2 linked regions of the Callithrix jacchus genome follow. The protein of the gene in region 1 binds, or shares a complex with, the protein of each later gene. Links are inferred from orthologs where the notes say so. Each region holds a gene or a part of one and is shown on either strand. Other genes may lie near its edges.

Region 1 (10,312 bases):
TAGGAAGTTATTTCTTTAAAATACTTAAAATTTGATTCATTTGTGACTAACTCTCTTAACATAAGTTAAATGAGCCTTGTGGACAAATTGATGAATTGGTACAAAATGAGAAACAAAGAAACTGGGCCCTTACTTTTTAGGCCTTCCTGGGGTTTGTTTTTTTTTGAGTTGGCAAAGACCAGTGCCAAAAAGTGGCGTATTTTCTCAGGTTTTGAGTAATGAGGGGAAGAATCTTCCATTGTTCTACATCATCGATTTTTCAGAGAGGGCAATGAAAAGAATACCTTAAAAATGTTTTTTGTGGTTGTGAAAGATGTTCATGCTCAGTGTAGAAAATACGGAAAATACAGGAAAGCATAAAAAAGAAAATATAAACCATCTATAAAGGAAGCTTCTTTTTAAAGTTGTGCAAGGCAGGAATTTGATTGAAGTACAAAGTGCATTCAGATGTTGCTTTTCATTGAAAAACAGCATAAATTATTCCTGTTCTACGGAAATCTCAACTTTTATTCTGCAGTATTCTGGTTTCAAGTTATATTTTTGAAGATTCATTTGAATAACAAGAGTACAATATAACAAAGGTGGGGCTCTGAGACTCACACAGCTTTGTATTTTGCCATGGACTGTGAGCGGGGAGGTGGGTCGATCTGGAATTGCGGGGCTATGGCAGAGATCCCATCCTGCCGATAGTTTGTGATTCCACATTTCTCTCATTTTAGAGCAAATCCAGCCCCACACCCTGTTCACTCCTTTGCTGATTGGTTTCGTAGTCGTAGCTGGCATGATGTGCATTATTGTGATGATTCTGACCTACAAATATTTACAGGTAACCATTTATTTGTTCTCTCTGCAGAGTGCTCTAATGACTGAGACAATAATTACTAAACGTGATCTGTCTTTGCCTTTCTCCCCACAGAAACCCATGTATGAAGTACAGTGGAAGGTTGTTGAGGAGATAAATGGAAATAATTATGTTTACATAGACCCAACACAACTTCCTTATGATCACAAATGGGAGTTTCCCAGAAACAGGCTGAGTTTTGGTCAGTATGAAACAGGGGTTTTCCATGTCACCTTTTCGGGTACATCTAACAGTGACTTTAGGGAACTCCAGTGGCTTCATTTGTTTTGTTCCACCTGAAACAGAGTTTTCTGTGAAATTGCACCTCCTCTGATAGGTTTGGCATAGAGAACAGTATAGGAAAATGTCTCTAGACAAAATTGTCCCTAATTCCTTAATTGATTTTGAAACTACACAAATGGTCCTTCAGTTCCACCACCAGCACCACCACCACTTACCTTGTTGTCTTCCTTCCTACAGGGAAAACCCTGGGTGCTGGTGCTTTTGGGAAGGTTGTTGAGGCAACTGCTTATGGCTTAATTAAGTCGGACACGGCCATGACTGTCGCTGTAAAGATGCTCAAACGTAAGCTCCTGTATGGTACTGCATGCACGCAACACGAGTTTGCCAAATGTGCTTTTTGCTAAAATGCTTGTTTCCAATTTTAGCAAGTGCGCATTTAACAGAACGGGAAGCCCTCATGTCTGAACTCAAAGTCCTGAGTTACCTTGGTAATCATATGAATATTGTGAATCTTCTTGGAGCCTGCACCATTGGAGGTAAAGCCATGTCCAAATTGCCTTTTTTTGTTAAGTTATCCAAAGATGACATTTTAATATGATTTTGACAATGCTGGATTATAAGTTGCTGGAAGACTTTCACCCAGACTATTATTCTCTCCTGCTAGATTTTGTTTTCCTTACTGTTCTTAAGAATGCAGATTTTAATTTTATTACTACAAGGTAGATCAGCCCAGGACATACACTAGTTACTGTCGTGTTTGTAACATCAACAACATTGGCTTCTCGAATAGCTCATCCTGACCAGAAGGCTTCTCTTATCTTGTAAGCTTTATATCTTTCTTGATCATATGTAGCCACTGAAAGGGTTAATATTCATTTGCATACTATAATTGAAAATAGGCACCTAAGCCTACTAGTTCTCAGATATATACCAAGTGAGGCAAACATTTCACTTCTGTAAAAATAAGTTTCCAATCTGAAGCCTTAGTTGAGGTTTCCATCAAGGATGTCTGTGATGTTTACAGAAAGTATTTCAGTTGAAAGAAACAAAGATGTGTAAAATGAGCTGTTCCTGGAGATGCACGGTGAAGTTGACAGCTTTATGTAATGTCTACAGACAACCCCTGTAAATGTTGCTTCACCGCATCATGAATTGTTTATGAGGAAATTTCTTACCCAAGTTAATTAGTTGCCTCTTACCTCCGAACTACAGTTTTAAACATTCATAACACCAGAAAGATTTTTCAACTAGTAGTGCTCAGAACAGAGGTCATTTTAGGTTTTCACTCACTTTCCAGTCTCATCCCAGCAAGCTGCTCCATGTGGCTGATGTCCCCACTATGCCACAGTTTGTACCTTCATTATTTCCATAATAATGTTACAGAGAGCACGTGAAGCCCTGCTGTAAACAGAAGTGAATCAAAGGATTCACGTAGGAAGCTTGATGATAGTAGAACCTTTGAAAGCAGTAACTTCTGTCTGTAAAACCAGCAGTCATGCTTGGCCCCAAATACTGATGTCACTTAGAAATTCAGGTTAACAGAGGCTTGCTTGTTTTATGTTACTCCATAATGCTGCTTTTTTGATAAGCATTGTTAATATATAGGATCGTATTGGGACTAAGTAGGCTTATCCACTGAAGCTGAATATTAATGGCCATGACCACCCTTGGGTATTTTTATGGGAGGCAGAATTAATATACATATCTCACCTTCTTCTAACCTTTTCTTACGTGCTTGTAGGGCCCACCCTGGTCATTACAGAATATTGTTGCTATGGTGATCTTTTGAATTTTTTGAGAAGAAAACGTGATTCATTTATTTGCTCAAAGCAAGAAGATCATGCAGAAGCTGCACTTTATAAGAATCTTCTGCATTCAAAGGAGTCTTCCTGGTAAGATTGATTTACGTAAATAGTTAGCTGTTGACAGGCAGTTCATGGGGTCATAAGGGTTTGCAATCAAGGCTGATTCTTTAAAAAATGAACTGAGGTACTCTGAGGTATGAAATCAAAATTATTAAATCATTTAAATGTGATTAACAGTTTAGAAAGTTCAAATTGTGTTTTTAAAGATTCAAACTGTGATAAACCTGGATTTTTGCTGATTTTTAAAAAATGCATTTTTACTTTTTTCTACACTTTAGTTCTATGCAACTGAATGAATTCTATTTCTGTTTCTTATGGTTCTGTCCTGCATGTATTTCCATTTATACCACTGAGCTTGGTGCTATATGCATGTTTCCAGTGAGACACTGTTTATAGGGAAAATGCTAAAGCCTCTCAAGTTGCCACAGTAAAGTCCTTTAAAACCTTTAGCAGAATGACAGAGAGCTCTGAACATATCTCTACACGTAGGCTTTTTGCCATCGACCTCTGAATTATTCCTATATGCCTTGCCTCTTGCCCCTTTTAATTCATCATGCTATTAAAAGATATAACCACTCCAGCACATTTTTATAAATTCTGGACACCATTCTCATCTCTTTCATCATGGCTGCCATTCTGAATTTGAATCATCTATAAAGAGCTTCAAGTTTGATTTACAACCAGAAAAGAAACTTGCCTATTCTTTCTTTGGAAGTGCTGTTATGAGCCACCATTTGAGAAGACTTCCTAGATTTACTTCACCCAGTAGAAGTCATGATTATCTTGGCCAATCCCCTATACTACAGTTGGGTGGGAGATTTCTCTTATCCTTTTTATGCACTACATCCCCTGCACCTTGTGACGGCAAGACGTTGCCTCCTAAACTCTTAACACCAGGCCCTCTAGGAGACCTCAGTAAATAATATTGATGGGCAATTACCTTTTAGAGCCATTTTCTGTACCTCTGGCTAAAGTTTAAAGCCCCAGGTGAAACTTTTTATTTTTTTAATCCTATAAACTTGAATAGTTTAAAGTGGTAGTAAAATTCTGTACAAAACCACCTTTTATTAGTTTCTCCTGGGCATGTGCTCATTATATGAAGAAATGAGCCATTTTGCTTCTTTCCGAAATCTTGGCCCTATCTATATTCTTTAACTTTCTGAAATAATGGCCGAAATTGTTCAATTCTGTGTGATGTTCTTTGTGCTTTGGGATCCCATATGGGATTGGAACCACCAGCACACTCTGAAGGAGATTGTTGTCATGGTGTTTCTATGCTAATCAGAAGCAGGAAGTACTAGAAATCTTGAAGAGTCTCCAGCCAAATGTTGCAGATTGAAGAGGTCCAGATGGTTCAGAAAATCATCCAAATTATTGGTGTTTATCTGAACCAACTTGATTTTTTTTTTTAAACCTTATTCCATCAGTCACTATATGTTAACGATCTCTGTCTCCCCCCATAACACATCTTAGAAGCTCCTCTTCTTTGTCTTTCTTTCATCTTGTTTCCTGGGGCTCATTTAGAGAGTTTGAGGTAATACAGGATACCATTTTCGTTTCCCATTAAATCCACGTGTCAAGAGATGGGAAATTTCTAACCTGGGTCCCCTCTATGATTAAACACAGAAAGGACACCTAATTTCTGGGCATAGACCCCAATATTGAATATTAAAAACTCATATTTTACAGAACAAGATTTTCATTCATATTTTACTTTCCTCAAGTCAGTCCAGTCTATTATGTAGCAAAGGGGATGACGAGGGAGAGCCTGACCCATGAGTGTCAGGCTTCTGCACGTCCCACTTGATTCAGTCATGACTTGTTTCATCTCTCCCAGCAGCGATAGTACTAACGAATACATGGACATGAAACCTGGAGTTTCTTATGTCGTTCCAACCAAGGCCGAGAAAAGGAGATCTGCGAGAGTAGGTGGGTACCCACCTATCAAGCAACAAGAGCAACTTTATTTACAGAGAGTATATATATATCATGCTAATGTGGAATACAATGTCATTCCCAGTAGCAATGATGGAAACCAGTTCTGCTTTATGGTAGCCATGCCAATGGTCGATGGCAGTTAGGGTTGCAAGTGGGTGTTTGGGGTTAGAGTATATGTTTTTGTGTCTGAGCATCTTACTATAGACTTGGGATTTTTGTATTAATTCGCCATCCCTCTCTTCTACGGATTTTGTAACCCAGCCTAGGATTGTTAAATACTAATTTTGTGATTCAGCATCTACCTTTCCTGGACACCAGGGAGGTGATCTGCCTGCAAGTTCACATTAGTTCATTCATTACCAGCCTTTGGTATTGTCATTGCCACTGTCTTTTCCTTTTCTAACCTTTATGGTTTTAATTGCTAAGAAAAACCCTCCCTTCATCACAGGCTCATACATAGAAAGAGATGTGACTCCTGCCATTATGGAGGATGACGAGTTGGCCCTAGACTTAGAAGACTTGCTGAGCTTTTCTTACCAGGTGGCAAAGGGCATGGCTTTCCTCGCCTCCAAGAATGTAAGTGGGAATGATTCTCAAAAGAGTTTTTTGTTTTGTTTTGTTTTTTAAACAGAATTTTAGAGCCATAGTTAGAAGGCAGAGTGTCATTTTGAAGTGTGGTAACCAAAAGCAGAGGAAATTTAGTTTCTTCGTGTTCCAACTGCTGTCTCTTTGGAATTCCTGTTCTAATTTATAAGCTTCAAAGTGTAAGCCTGTCAAAATGAGTTTTCTATGAATATTCTTTTATATGCAGTGAATTCATTTAAAACTTCTGACTTTTAGGATATAGGATATGTTCCTAGAGAATAGAAACATTTTATCAGTAAAAGCAGAGGGCACCTCATAGTTACAAGGATTGGGGTGAAGCATAGACTTGAATTTTATTGAAGTTAGACCCAAGTATTACAATGCATGGCTTATGAAGTGTTGGGAAATAAGGGGTCAAGAGAGTATAATAAACACTTGGGAGAAAGATAGGAATGGAAAAAGAATGATGGAACCAAGAAAAGAAGATGGTCTGTGGAAAGGTGAGAGGAATTCCTTAGGACATAAGATTAACCGAACAGAATGAGGTTACCAGTCCTATCCTTAAATGTCATGGGTGACATTTCCCAACAATTACCAAACTAAGAAAGGACACAGGATGGCTGAAATAAAGACCTTCTTCCGTGTGTCCTTGGGAAATGTCAAATTGAAGTTGCAAAGGCATGTTAGGAATTCTGTGAAAGGACATTCAAAGAGATGTATGCAAAATGAATTTCCAGTTTCAGCAATATGATATGACTATTTCTTATGAATTTTCCTACGAATAAAAGCAGTCCTGAGAAGAAAATACATTTATTAGAATTGCTTTTGAAAGAGATTATAGTAATTAGACTCTTGATTATGTGAACATCATTCAAGGCATGCTTTTGATTTTTTTTTGTTGTTGTTGGTGTACTGAATACTTTAAAACAAAAGTATTGGATTTTTTATAATATAACAACACTCTAATATTAAAAAGTTAGTTTCACTCTTTACAAGTTAAAGTGAATTTAAATGGTTTTCTTTTCTTCCCCAATCGAATAGTGTATTCACAGAGACTTGGCAGCCAGAAATATCCTCCTTACTCATGGTCGAATCACAAAGATTTGTGATTTTGGTCTAGCCAGAGACATCAAGAATGATTCTAATTATGTGGTTAAAGGAAATGTGAGTACCCATTCCCTGCTTGATAGTCCTGCAAAGGAGTTGTAGTTTCAACTTTCAATAAAAATTGTTGCCTATGATTTTCATAATGTAAATCCTGTCTTGAGCTATCACATATTTTAGCAGTCAAATTTAGTGTACTTCAGCAAAATTTGCATGGTATGCTGAACATTACTACAACTAACATTCAGTAATGGAATTCCTAATTCTAATTGTGTAATTATGGGGCACGTGAAGGAAACAGAAATAGCCTTAATTTTCATTAGAGCCTGAGAATAGCAATGAACTTGATTTTGTTCAACTGTATCAAATGTAGGTCATTGAAGGTCACAGCAGGAGAAATTTTGGGGGATTGACATGCCGTGTGAAGAAGATTAAAATCTAAGGTCATGTTCAGAGTTAGCCATATAGAATGTTGGATCCTAGAATTCATGGAGAGCTATTAAATGGGTTCATAAGTAATAATGAGTTTGTAGAACATAGAAAATGTTTTTCAAAGTGCTATATTTCATTGCCAATTTTTATTGAACTCAGAACAAACTCTTGCCCTACAATTGCAGTGTCTTCCTATTTTAAAAGTTGGAGAAACTAAGGCATAGTATATTTTCATGCTTTTTGTCTGAGGTGACACAGGGCAGGACCCAGAGCCTGTGATTTCCAGAGTGGCATCCCATCGCCATGGAAAACCATATTGCCCTGTATATTCTTCTATGTCTTTTTCTTACTGGGCCCATTTCCACAGTCCAGATTTATTCCTGGAGGTAGATTTTTGTGCCCCTTATGATAATGTAATATTTTCTCTCTCATCACTATGGTGTCTCTACTGGTAGTCTGTACTTGACTTGGTATGGCTGTGTTTATCTTCTGGCCAAAGCATGAATTTCTGAGAAGTCTGTCCTGAAGCTAGATATCATCATCAGGAGTGATAATAAAAACAACTTCTCTTCATCCTGGTGTGATTTTGGAAGGAAGAATAACAAGTTGTTTATTATCTAGGCCTCTGAACATTGACCAAAGGGAGGAGAAAGAAGATGGCAACCTCCAGGCTCAGTCTTGATTAATTCTGTAATCTGCCTCCATTATTTCATGGCTGTATAATATTGTCAAGACTTACCCAACATCTCTGAATCTTGGTTTTTCTCCCCTTGGGAATAATAGTGATTCCTGACTCAGAAAGTTATTTTGAGGATTAAAGGAGTTAATAGATGTAAAGTGCTTAGAACGTGCCAGACATATTGTTACGATTCTTTATAGATGTCTTATAAATAATCCTGCCTATTGTTATATACTGTTTTGTTATTGGTTAGTAGTGACCTTAGTTTGAATTGACAAAGGGGTTGGCCCCCATCAGGCTTCCAGATTATAGACTCCAGCTCAAGGAGTCTACAATCGAACTAACCAATCACAGGCATTGCTTTCACCAGGCTTGTGGGTAAGGAGAATTTCTGAAACAAGATAAGGACAAGGAAACTCACACATGTTACTGCCCAGCGTGTATGTCATCATCATTTGAGAACTCCTTGTTGTGTCAGGGTCTCTGAAGTTCTTCCTTTCACATGAGTTCTTCATCATTTTTTCATGTCATGGCCCCTTTTAGAGTCTGGTAAAGCCTGTGGAACCGTTGTCAGAACACTGTTTTCAACGCCTGTGATGAAATACATAGGACTGCCAAGGAAAACAGTTAAATCGAAGTAGCTATCAGGATATTAAGTAAATTTGTGGTATGTCAGTACATGTGTTTACTACAGAGAGTAACAGATTCTTTTAGGTTGGTGTAAAAGCAATTGTGAGCTTTGCTATTTTTTTTTTTTTTTTTTTTTTTTTTTTTTTTTTTTTCAGAAAACCACTGTAATTTTAGAGTGGTGATTAAATAGGATTTTGAGATACATGTAAAGACTTAATAGGATATGAAGGTATTTATGATTACTGTTCATGACAAAGCCACAGGTACAGCTGATACTACTGTGGCTTATCACCTTCGTTAGTAATTTAAAGAAATGCTAAACTTCATCTAGAAATTAGTGAAAGTAAGGATGTCGTTTTTCCTTTCCAAGTTCACAGGCCCCTGAGTTTGACACCTGTAGATCTTAGGTTAAGAGCCCTTATAGGATTTAGCACAAGATATAGGAAGAGAAGGCTTTTTTTTAACTGACTAAAATAAGAAAAAAAAAGAAAGAAAAGCTTTCCCAGTTTTCAATCCTAAGTTGATTCAGAGAAGGGTTGATTTAGCTTTTTATGGCAGATTAAGATCAGGAATCCAGAATGCATCTAAGAGGAATAGTTTAGGTCAACTTTAGGTCAGAAAGTTTAGGTCATCTTCAATGAAGAGAGTTCTCCAAAGAGTCATGATCATCACAAGCCACTACTGTCTATCGAGTACTTGCCTTTATTCTAGGCAATTTTTCAGATAGCACTGAGTCAGGCAGTGCTAAGCATTTTTACCCACATTACCTTATTTAACCCATAGGACACATAAAATTAAAAGTATTTATTTTGTTTTACAGAAGAAGATACTGAGGCTTAATTACAAATATTTCAGCAACTTTCCCCATGTATTAGAATTTTGGGTTTTAAAAGAAAACCCAAAATAAAAGAAGTCTAGGGGTAGCAGGCCAGGATTGGTATAACGGTTCCATGGAGTATTCCAGGCCAAGTCTTTCCTTTGCATGCTTAACCATTCTTGGGTGTAACCCCATGTTCATGGTCCAGGATGACCACCAGGTAGCCAGCCATCACATACACGAGGGAGGGGGCACATGCCAGCTGTATTTGTAAGGAGGTTTTCCAGAAGTTGGCGTACAGCACTTAACAACTTAGTGGCTAAAACCGAGTCACCTGACTATAGCTAGCTGCAAAGGAGGCTGGGAAATGTAGTCCTAATTGTGAGAGGCTGTATTTCTGTTTTAAGAAAGGAGAGGGACATATTCAGTGGCAACTAAAAAAATCTCTGTATTACGTAAGGCACATGGTCGAGCCAGGGCTAAAATGTCTAGTCATCTCGGACATTTGTGCTCTTAATCACCATGCTGTACTGACATAGTGTTCACAGCTTAAAATGGGGATAATGCACTTGTGAGCCATGTATTTCAGAGGTAGTTGGGATCAGTTGAGATCATAAAGGTAAAAGGTCTTTGTGAGATGGTACTCAAGTTCTCACCCCATTTTTCAGCAACAGCAGCATCTATAAGAATATCTCCTGTTCAGTTTTGTTGAGCTTCTGAATTAACATTGTTGACTCTGTTGTGCTTCTATTACAGGCTCGATTACCTGTGAAGTGGATGGCACCTGAGAGCATCTTCAATTGTGTATACACATTTGAAAGTGACGTCTGGTCCTATGGGATTTTTCTTTGGGAGCTGTTCTCTTTAGGTAAAGTGATCTTTGCCAAAGACACCTTCCTTAGGCTCACAGCATCTTCTTGAGGTTTCATTAGTGTCCTCCCTCCCTGTGATTAACACTGATTTACAAACTATCTCAGGAAGCAGCCCCTATCCTGGAATGCCAGTTGATTCTAAGTTCTACAAGATGATCAAGGAAGGCTTCCGGATGCTCAGCCCTGAACATGCACCTGCTGAAATGTAAGAGCCGAGAAGTTTTTCCTTTAGATCACATTTCCCCTTTTATTTTTCTTTTTAAAGACAGAAACCCAGATGTGGAGGATTTTCATAACACGGTTTGA
Region 2 (10,412 bases), on another chromosome or scaffold:
GGGCTTTTATCCCAGGAAATGGGTGGCACGTGACTTAACAGTAACGCTAAAAACCGGAAGACAACGGAGCAATGCCTGCAAAATTCCAAGAGGAAACACCCTTACAACTATGACCCCCACTGACAGTTCAATGACTCTCCTTGTGCCCTTGCACGTGTCTGGCATCCTTGCAGGGACTAGGCCTGGTTCTGGTCACCAGTGAGCGACCTGCAGGAACACCCGCCTCTGCCATGAAGGCAACAGACAGGGACTGCAGGTGGAAGCAGACTGGACCCAAAGAAAGAGGCTAAGGGAGCCGCAGACTTCGTGAAAGCAAGACACAGACCTCTAGTCATGCGCTGAGATTTCAGAGTTAATCTGTCACTGTCAGATAACTTATTCTATCTGAACTAAAATATTAACCTGGAATTTTTACACAGCCAGGCATACACCAAATACTTAGAACATAGACGTTTTCTGACATGCAAGGTCTCAGCCAGCTCAACTGTAACAACCTCCATGAAGACAAATCCAAATTCCCCAGCTTCCAGGATTAAATTAAAACCTTCGGCCTCAACAGCAAGAAGGGGTGCGTACACCAGACTCCATTCGGAAATCTACTACTAATGTGACGTGTGACTCTGGGCAGATGACGTACCCTGCTTAGACCCAATTTCCTCATCTGTGCAAGGATGAAGATCATCTATAATCAGAGGAGTTTCCTCTAGCTCTAAATGCAGTAATTCTGCTGCAAATGTATAAAATCACTAAAATCCCACTACAATTCTCTGCCTCGGTACTTGCTTACATTTTCTGCCAGTCTATGGTATTTGGCAATAATGTTGTTTCCTAAATATGTTACTTTTTTTTTAACTTTAAAAGCAATGTCAACAAACAAAAATGACTATTGTCTGATGGTAATATGTTACTTAAAACCAAATTTAAGCTTTAAAAACAAACACCATTATCGAAACAAACTTTAGACAAATAACATACAGACACAGTAAAAATCTACCAGTAAGAATCCGTCTGACTTTAAAAACCTGCTAACCCAACTGCTTCAACCATCTAGCATATTATTGACATGGTCAGAATAACGTGTACCGTAAAAATCACTTTAAGTGCAACCATAAACAGCACCAAATAATTGGCTACCCAGAGCACTGAGTAAAAAAACCTTGTCTAGATAATTCTAAAGATTAACACTGAACTATTGAAATTGTTTTTGATGGAAATCTTATCTAATAGGAGCCAAACATTCTTGTCTTCAAAACGGTATTTTAAGCACAAGTGTGTATATTAAGTATAATCTCAGACTGTCACAAACTGCTATATATAAATGGATGCCTCTCCAGATGACCAAATGTATCTGTTGGAAAATTTCAGGAAGGCATAACGACACCATTAGGACTTACTGATGTTTAGATCACTGCCTGCCTCCCAGGCCTTCAGATATAGCTTGTCTTCCTGCTTTTTCTCTACACTCAAGAGTCCGATACTACAGAAAATAAGATCATCATCACTCCCCAATCTCCAAGTGTGATGCCCTTTTAATAATTTTAAGAAAGTATTTTAGTGTGTTGCTGTTAGGAGTGATAAAACAATATGAGAACAAACGTACTCAGAGCAGAAGGCTCGGTCTCCCATCAGTGAACTGCAATGACCCCACAGCCACGTCGGGCCACTGCTGCTAACACTGCAGCCACCTGTCATCCTTACCATTCTAGCAGCTTGCACTAACACTGCTTCTGAAGACGACTCTAGCTTACTGCTTTCATTCCCATTTCTCTTGTTCCTTTGGTCTCAAACCCTTTTCCCACATTAGGCTTCCTTAACAAAAACACTCATGTCTAACAAAGATGTGGCTGATTAATCAGAGAATACTACTTTTGACTAGTCAGATGTTTTAAATTAATAGTAATAGTTACTTTAAGTAGGAATTATCACTATTATTTTCAAATGTAATCTGACTAGTCAAAAGCGGTCAGATTAAGGAGCAGAATACTAGTGTTAAAGTATTAGCACTTGTTATATTTCAGGCACTGAATTAATACACTAACATGCATTATGTCACTCCATTTTCACACCAGCTCTGAGAGAAACAGCATTATTACTTTATATGTAAAGCAACAAAAACTTTAAGATTTTTTTTTAATATACTCTATAAAATTGAAGTGCTGAAATTCAAACCTAGATCTGCATTCCCTTGAGAGACCGCCTTCCTCAGTTACCATCGAGGGCTTCTAAGTCTCTGATCTTTCCCTCCTTTCCTCCCTCCTTTCTTTCTTTCTCTTTCTCTTTTTCTTTTCTTTTTTTGAGACAGAGTCTCGCTCTGTCGCCCAGCCTGGGGTGCTGTGCGATCTCGGCTCACTGCAACCTCTACCTCCTCAGTTCAAGCAATTCTCCTTTCTCAGCCTCCCAAGTTGCTGGGACTACAAGCACATGCTACCACTCCCAGCTAGTTTTTGTACTTTCAGTACAGGTGGAGTTTCATCATATTGGTCAGGCTGGTCTCGAACTCCTGACCTCAGGCGAACCACCTGCCTTGGGCTTCCGAAATGTTGGGATTACAGGCATGAGCCACTGTGCCCGGCCTAGTCTCTGGCTTTTCTAATTTCCAAGGAGTTTTTCCTTCTGGCTTTAATTCTACACCAGAAATCTGAGGATACCAGGAGGTTTCAGATAACTGAGGTTCCACTTTACTAAGCCACATGACCAAGGGAAACGTGTTTTGGGAATAGTGACTTTCTACACACTATACATAACTATACTTCCAGAAGCAGGAGATATGGGCGTCTACACTGCAAGTTAGTCTGGTCCTTGAGTCACTCAGACACACATTACGGCTCTAGAGGCAGTGACAGTCCTCTCTCTGTGGGGCTGTTGGGGCCATGTAATTATAAGGGCTTTGGTTTTATTAGTGCTATGATTTACTCAGCTACACAAGCAGACCAGTTCAGAAAAGGACAAACACCACGAAACACCAACAACTTTCTAACATGCAGACAGCATGTCGTTGCCTTTAAGGTGGAGATAACAACATGAAAACTCCAAGTACTTTCTGTATAGCCACACCTCTCCTACTCAGTGGCCAGGCCCCTGGGCTGTGTCAGGGACACAGAAAAGAAGGACCACCGTAGGCACTGTGCCCATATAGAACTTATTCAGGGCGGGGTGGGGGGAGGAAACAGCAGAAACAAGTAAACTAAATAATTACAGAAAATAATAGAGGTTATGAAGGAACCATACAAGTTAATGACTTGGGATTACTAAAGGAACCGTAATACCTTACCGTCCATGAAGTCTCTGGGTGGTGACACTGGCGTTAAGATCTGAGAATGAACCAACCACAGAAGCCACTGAAGGACACTGCGAACTACTGTGTCAAAGGTGGGGGTGCAGGAAGCAGGTCAGATTGTTGAGGAACAGAAAGGCTAGGGCAGAACCCTGGTAAGGCAGGGAAGGTTGCTGAAGATGAGAACTAGGGAGAAATGAAAACACATTTCAGAACTAGGCAGAAATGTTACAGTCACAGGTAAAGAGTGTGGATTTTTGGCTGGGCACAGGAACTCATGCCTGCAATCTCAACGCTTTGGGAGGCAAAGGTGGGAGGATCACTTGAGCCCATGATTTGAAGACCAACCTGGGCAACATAAGGAGACTCCAGCTCTACAAAAAATAAAAAAATCAGCTGGGCACAGTGGCATGCATTCGTGGTCCCAGCTACTAGCGGAGGGAAGCTGAGGTGTATGGATTGTTTGTTTGAGCCTGGGAGGATGAGGCTGCAGCGAGTTCTGATCACGCCACTGCACTCCAGCCTGGGCAACAGAGCAAGATCCCCATCTCAAAAACAAACAAACAAAAAGTTTTACCATAAATACATATTCATTGTAACTTTGTGAGATAAATTATTATCCCCACATGAGGAATAGGACTCAGAGGGCATACAGAACATGCTCAAGTTCACAGAGATGGTAAATGGATGCTCCAAAACGTCCAGAGTGTGCGAGGTGGGAACTGAAACCTCACATGGCTTACCTAAATATGTCTGTTCTTGAAACATCAAGACCAACAGCCACCTAAAATCAACTGCCCCAACTAAGTAAAATTTATTGTTTGTATGGGTCAGTAAAGACCTGAAATCAGTCTAAGTAAACAGTGTCCTCAGTCCTAAAGCCATCACAACTTATTAGCTAAACCAACATGCCAAACAGCATAATAAATTATCCATAAAAACATTAATGATAATTTCACTTTAAAACAATATTAAACATCTCTTTCGTTGCTTCTCTTTTAATATCTGAACAATTATTTCTATCAATCTGGCCATATAAGAAAGTTTCTCCTTTTTATGACATACACTAGTATTAGGAATTTCTCCCTTGTAAAATGAGTAATTTTACAAAAGTACTTTGGCACCACAGATGCATATATAATTTCCAGAATTGGAAGAGGTCAGGGATGAGGACAGAGGACTGAAATAGACAATCCTCACTTCCTACAAAGGATGAAATAAACAGAAAAAAGCAAAAGGAGATCTTTTTAGTTCATTTATTTATCTAAGTTTATTAAGCATTAAAACAGAATGTACACAAATCCATCAGTTATACTGGATTATAAATGAGGTATCTGACCTAATACTTCCAAATGCATATGTATTTATATATGTAATATCCTTTCTCATGAGTGCATATTTTTAAGAGAATAAAAATTATTGCTACAGATTTGCAAATGGCAGACGTCCCCAACTTACATTCCAGTATGCCCATGATAAACTGAAAATACCTTAAAAGTCAAAACTCACAGTGGGTTTATATGGATATAAGTCGAGGCGCATACTGAATGTGTATCATTTCTGCTCCACCAAAAAGTCAAAAAATCCAAAACTGGGGACCATCTATGTTTGGACTTTTAAATAAGATCACACCTCTATAAGCAAAATAAAAGACATGATCAGTAACCCAAAAGTCTTCTGAAAACTGGCCACAATGGAGAAAACTAGCAAGATTTTCTCTGAGGAGTGTAGTTACACAAGACAGACGTAAAGAGGACACTTGCAGGCTGGGCGCGGTGGTTCATGCCTGAAATCCCAGGGCTCTTGGGAGGCTGAGGTGAGAGGATCTTGAGGCCTGCAGTTTGAGACCAGCCTCGGCAACACAGCAAGACCCCATTTTTACAAAAAACCATCAGCCAGGTTTAGTGGCACATGCCTCCAGTCCCAGTTACCCAGGAGACTGAGGGAGGTGGATCACTTGAGCCCAGGAGTTCAAGGCTGCAGAGAGCCATGACTGCACCACTGTATTCCACTCTGGGTGACAGAGTAAAAGCAAAAAAGAAGATACTTGCTTTCTGTTTTCTTAAAAAAAAGGGGGGGGAGGGGCACTAAAAAGAATACGTTTTCCAGTTCTAATACAAGAATGAAAAAAAACACTGGAAGGCAAAATGACTAGAAACTCAGTCAGTACAGCACCACTTTCCAGTCAACGGCACTCAAATCCCTTCCCTGGGGGGGGAGGGGCCCTCCTGCCAAGGGAGGGGGTTAAGGGATGCCCTTGCGTGTGCTCTTGGGTGGGTGGAGCAAGGAGAAAGGAGCAAGGAGCAAGACTACCAATTTAGAGGGTAATTTAGATAAATGATAAAGGTAGGAAAGAGAGAGTGTTCCAAAAGAGACGCTGAATGGAATTCTAAAAAAGTATAGATTCAGGTGAATACCTAGCTGATCCTTACCCAGGCACAAGTGGAAAGCCCTGGCCACACTCCAGATAGAAGCTCTTCTAGGAAACCAGTCCACTGTCCACGAACCAGCTTCCTCCAAGGCACCAAGCCAGGCTTAGGGAGGGTGTTGGAATCGAAGGGTTAAGGCCACCTATTTCGTTTACAGAGGAATGGACCCTAAACCTTACCATATCCACGCGTGCACAAAACCCACTAGGAGGAGAAATTAGCCCATGGGAAAGCATTACAGACTTTCTTCGGGGTTTTGTGAAAGCCGGTGAGCAATGCCATTCCTGTTTTTAAGTAAGTCTGACTGTCCACAGCATTAACTATTCCGATAAGATTCATTCATTCAAGTAAGCTAAATGGATTTAATGCTGTGGGTTAAAAAAAAAAAAAAAGTCAAGACAAACTGCTATCTTCTGTGGTTGAGAAGGTGTCAGATATTTTAACTGAAAGTAGACCATTTGCCTTTGTTTGATTACTAATATAGCTTTACCCCAAGGAACACAGTAAATTTAAAACGTCTCTGGGAGACGTTCCGCGTGTGTAATTCACGTTATTTCTATCATTAGTGTGTTCTCTGTCCTCATGCACAGTGCGTGTTGCCTTCTACGGGCAGACGTTGCAGAAACATTTGTTGAAATGAATTCAACATTATTTATTTTGCTACCGGAAGACTGAGTTCTGCCACATATTCCCACCTGGCCCTTCATTCCAAACTCTGGGGATGGGAACCCCAGTTTCTCATTCCACCACACATTTCAAGTTTTGTGACGGGACCTGCCTCTAAGAAACTTCCATAATTCTGCTCCGTGAGCCACAAGGGTGTACCTGAAGTTGCCAACTCCCGAAGCAAACGGAAAATTCAGGCCCGCGTCGGTCCCAGGAGCGCTTTAAATTCCACAATCGTCCCTTCCCCACGCCCGGGTGAGTGCGCGGCCGGCCGGCGGCACCTTCGGCCACAGAGCAGCCCCGGCCTGCCACTCCGCCAGCGTAGGCGCGACCTCGCGGTGGGGCGGGGGCGTCCCCGAGTCCCAGCACCGCGCCCCGGGCCCGCCCTCGCGCCTGCGGCCTCGCCGCGTCCCGACCCCCAGCCCGCGGAGGTCCGAGCAGGGACCCGGCCGGGGCGCTGAGCCGCGCAGGCCCCGCGCCGCCGCCCAGGCCTCACCGAGCCCCGGCCTCTCCCCGGCGAGCTGCGGGCAACAAAGGCGGCGGCCCAGGCCGGCGCGCCGCGGCCGAAGAGGCCGAGAGGTCGGGAAGAACCGCCCGCGACCGCGCAGGCCTCAGCCCTTCAGGGGCCGCCGCGCCCCGGCCCCGGCTTCCCGGTTCCCGCGTCCCTGCTCCCGGCTCCAGCTCCCCAGCCCCGGCCCCCACGGGCGCAACCGCCGAGGCGGCGCAGGCCCTCGCGCTGACCCAGACCCACCGCTGCAGCCCGCGCCCGGCGGCCTCCCCGGCCCGGCCCGCGCCGGATCCGCCCCCTGAGCCTCGAGGCGGAAACCAGCCCGGCGGCCAGTGCCCCGGGCTGCGGACGGCGAAGCCCGGTCCCAGCCTCCCTCCCAGGCTCCCCAAACGCTCACCCGGAGGCGGCCCGGCTCCGCTTCCTCGCCCAGCGCCGGCGCGACTGCCGCGCTCGCCTTCTCTTCTCGGCAACTCCTCCTCCCGCCTCCTTCCTCCTCCTCCTCCAGGAGGGGCGCGCGGCCGCAGCGACTCGGCCCGAGCGGGGAGCGGGTGCGGAGGAGCCGAGCTGGCCGCCCCGCGCCCACTACTCGGGCCTGCGGCGCAGGCGGGGCGTCGGGGCGCACGGGGCTAGGGCTGGGGGCCGCGCGGGGCGGGGCGGGGCGGGGCGGGGGCCGGGCACTGGGTGGGGGGTTCCGAGGGGAGGAGCGCCGGGCCAGGGTCGTGGGGCGGGAGGGCGGGGCGCGGAGCCCGGATCTTCCCACCCCCGCGCCCTCCTGAGCCCCTCAGCCGATGGCTGCAGGCGGCTGCTCCTCCAGCCCCCGGGGTCCCTGGTGCCTTTCCTCCGGTCGGGGTGGCTCTGGCTAACGTGGAAAGGAAAGTCCTCGGCTCCCCCACACACAGGCCCCGTGGATTTGGCGGACGCGGTCCCTGTGCCCCTGCGACCGGCGGCGGGACCCCCACACTGGTCAGGTCTGGGCTCGCGCCGGGACCCCGACCTTGTCCCCGCGGGGAGGAGACCCCCGGACTGCCGCGCGCGCACGCCGTGCAGAGCCACAAGTGGGGAAGCGCTCCCCACACCTTCTCGACTGAATCGTGAAAATTGCTTTTTAAAAAACCAAACTTATTCCTTGTTTCGAGCCATTTACTTTTCCATTTAGTCATTTTCAGAGAGGTTTTGTACAAGTAATAGTTCACTGATGTTTGTGCCGCCGAATTCCAAGGTAGTGTGATATACAAGTTGCATGTTGGGGACTTGACTCATGTCTACAGGGAAACTGGCTGAAAACTTGATTTTTGTCCATGGGAAATCAATAGGAAAATTTGTATTTCTCTTATGATGAAAAGTGATTAAAAATGAATGTCATTATTATTTCAATAGAGCTTGGGGGCAGATAAGTATCATTAAAATCTAACAAGAATTATTGTGGACTTGAAAAGTTGTTGAATAATATGGACCGTTTAAAAAGAAAACTGAAAGTACAGAGAAAAAAGGGCTAGAAAAAAGTCTAAAAAAGTTGTTCAGGTGTGAGTTTTTACCCGAATTACATCTTCAGAAAGTTGTTAGTTACAAAATGTTCACGTACAGTAATCTTATTTCCTATGTTCAATATAAAATGCTCGACAAGAAATCTAGATTCATAACAGAAAAGTTGGAACTTTAGGTGATGCAAAGTTGATGTCATTTGTTGTGTGTCATACACTATCATTGTCATTTTCAGTTTTTACTTGATTAATAAAATGCTACCATTATTGTTACCGTGATTGAAATGCAACACAATTCTGAAATACCTAATTACAATGATTGGAGAATGGAGGTTGAAATAGAATTGGCAGAGAGGTTAGTGGGAAACACAAAAAACGGTAATTAGCAGTGACTCACGCCTGTAATCCCAATGCTTTAGGAGGCCAAGGCAGGCGGATCATGAGGTCAGGAGTTCAAGACCAGCCTGGCCAACACAGTGAAACCCCCGTCTCTACTAAAAATACAAAAATTAGCCGGTCATGGTGGCAGGTGCCTGTAATCCCAGCTACTCAGGAGACTGAGGCAGGAGAATTGCTTGAACCCAGGAAGTGGAGGTTGCAGTGAGCAGAGATAGTGCTATCGCACTCCAGCCTGGGCAACAGAGCGAGACTCCATCTCGAAAAGAAAAGAAGCAAACTTTTCAATCCTACTGCCTCGGGATGCCAGTGTCTCCCTATTTTATCTAAAAAGGACAACCAGCAGGAGCTGTGCAGCAGGGGGTTAGTGAGCCTTTTTCGCAGCAATGGGGCTGTGAAGGGTGGGGAAGAGTTGACTTCCAGGAGACTCTTGAATGTATGGTTAAGACCCAGGGGTTCTGAGTCTAGCAGAGCTGGACCAGAGGCACAGCTTTGACAGGTCTGACAGCCGTGTGACCTCAAACAAGTTTCTCAGTTGTAACCTCAGTTTCTACTTTTGTAAAGGGGGAATGAAGGGGCTTGATACGAATTATACCAAATAGTTGTAAGATTTCATGAAATAATGCAGAAAAACCACTAGGGGCCTAATGAGTCACGCCTTGCATTCAATTCTTTTGAATATATTACGTGTTTTAATTTTCATATCAATCCAGTAAGGTCAGTATTAACATCATCCCTGCCTTACAGATGAGGAAACTGAGATGTGCAGTGCGAAGGTAAGAATTCACTCTCCCCAAGTCACAGCTACTATAGGGCAGAGCTGGAATTTAGGCTTAGACCCTTTACCACTAAATAATGATTACAGTATTAATAATATAGCAACAACTTCAGTGTAGAGATATTAGTCTAGATATACTATTTAAAATCGCCATGCTTGGCTACATTTCAGACACTTTTTGGCCATAAACATGTGTTATCTTCTTGGCTATCCGCCTGAACCCTTTTTCCCATCAGCACTTGCTCTCTTTTTTGGAGGAAATCTTATCTTTGCTCTACCAACACCCAACACAGCTAAGATATATGCCCGTAACTCTTCCCCAGGCCAGACAGGGAGGCTCACACCTGTAATCCCAGCACTTTGGGATGCCAAGGTGGAAGGTTCACTTGAGGTCAGGGATTCGAGACCAGCCTGAGCACCATGGCCAGATGTTGTCTCTACAAAAAGTTAATATATTAGCAGGGTGGGGTGGCATGGAGGCGGGAGGATCTATTAAGCCCAGGAGTTCCAGGTTGCAGTAAGCTATGAACATGTCACCACACTCCAGCCTGGACAACAGAGCGAGACTCTGTCTTACAAAAAGAATCAGGCTGGGTGCAGTGGCTCACACCCATAATCCCAGCACTTTGGGAGGCCAAAGCCGATGGATTGCTTGAGAGCCCAGGAGTTTGAGACTCACGTGGGCAACGTGGCAAAACCCTGTCTCTACTAAAAATACAACAATTAGCTGGGCATGATGGTACATGCCTGTAGTTCCAGTTGTTCAGGAGGCTGAGACTGGAGGATTGCTTCAGCCCAGGAGGCAAAGGTTGTAGTGAACAGCTATCATGCCATTGCATTCCAGTCTGAGCAACGGCGTGAAACTCGCTCAAAAAGAGAG

What was found. Proteins that work in one complex are often made in the same cells at the same time.
Region 2: the proteins of KIT (region 1) and SOCS6 are in contact, whole or in part, in a crystal structure (PDB 2VIF), measured with the Homo sapiens proteins. The link is inferred for Callithrix jacchus from reciprocal best matches to the Homo sapiens genes KIT and SOCS6. Residues at the interface, in NP_000213.1 of Homo sapiens: Asn566, Asn567, Tyr568, Val569, Tyr570, Ile571, Asp572, Pro573, Thr574; in NP_004223.2 of Homo sapiens: Arg391, Glu395, Arg409, Asp410, Ser411, Ser412, Asp413, Ser419, Phe422, Thr428, Leu429, His430, Thr431, Arg432, Phe442, Tyr443, Glu444, Gln445, Val448, His460, Asp464, Ala469, Phe470, Cys471, Tyr472, Ser473, Arg474, Ser475, Arg476, Thr482.

Annotation. Positions count from the first base shown.
Region 1 is NC_133504.1:142,019,486-142,029,797, reverse strand, and holds part of KIT (mast/stem cell growth factor receptor Kit), read left to right. Parts: intron 1-719; coding exon 720-826; intron 827-916; coding exon 917-1,043; intron 1,044-1,321; coding exon 1,322-1,426; intron 1,427-1,509; coding exon 1,510-1,620; intron 1,621-2,825; coding exon 2,826-2,976; intron 2,977-4,786; coding exon 4,787-4,878; intron 4,879-5,335; coding exon 5,336-5,463; intron 5,464-6,513; coding exon 6,514-6,636; intron 6,637-9,890; coding exon 9,891-10,002; intron 10,003-10,111; coding exon 10,112-10,211; intron 10,212-10,312. UniProt on the Homo sapiens protein: Tyrosine-protein kinase that acts as a cell-surface receptor for the cytokine KITLG/SCF and plays an essential role in the regulation of cell survival and proliferation, hematopoiesis, stem cell maintenance, gametogenesis, mast cell development, migration and function, and in melanogenesis.
Region 2 is NC_133514.1:112,900,305-112,910,716, reverse strand, and holds the start of SOCS6 (suppressor of cytokine signaling 6), read right to left. Parts: upstream 7,321-10,412; 5' UTR 7,121-7,320; intron 6,666-7,120; exon of another isoform or gene 6,529-6,665; intron 3,461-6,528; exon of another isoform or gene 3,272-3,460; intron 1-3,271. UniProt on the Homo sapiens protein: SOCS family proteins form part of a classical negative feedback system that regulates cytokine signal transduction.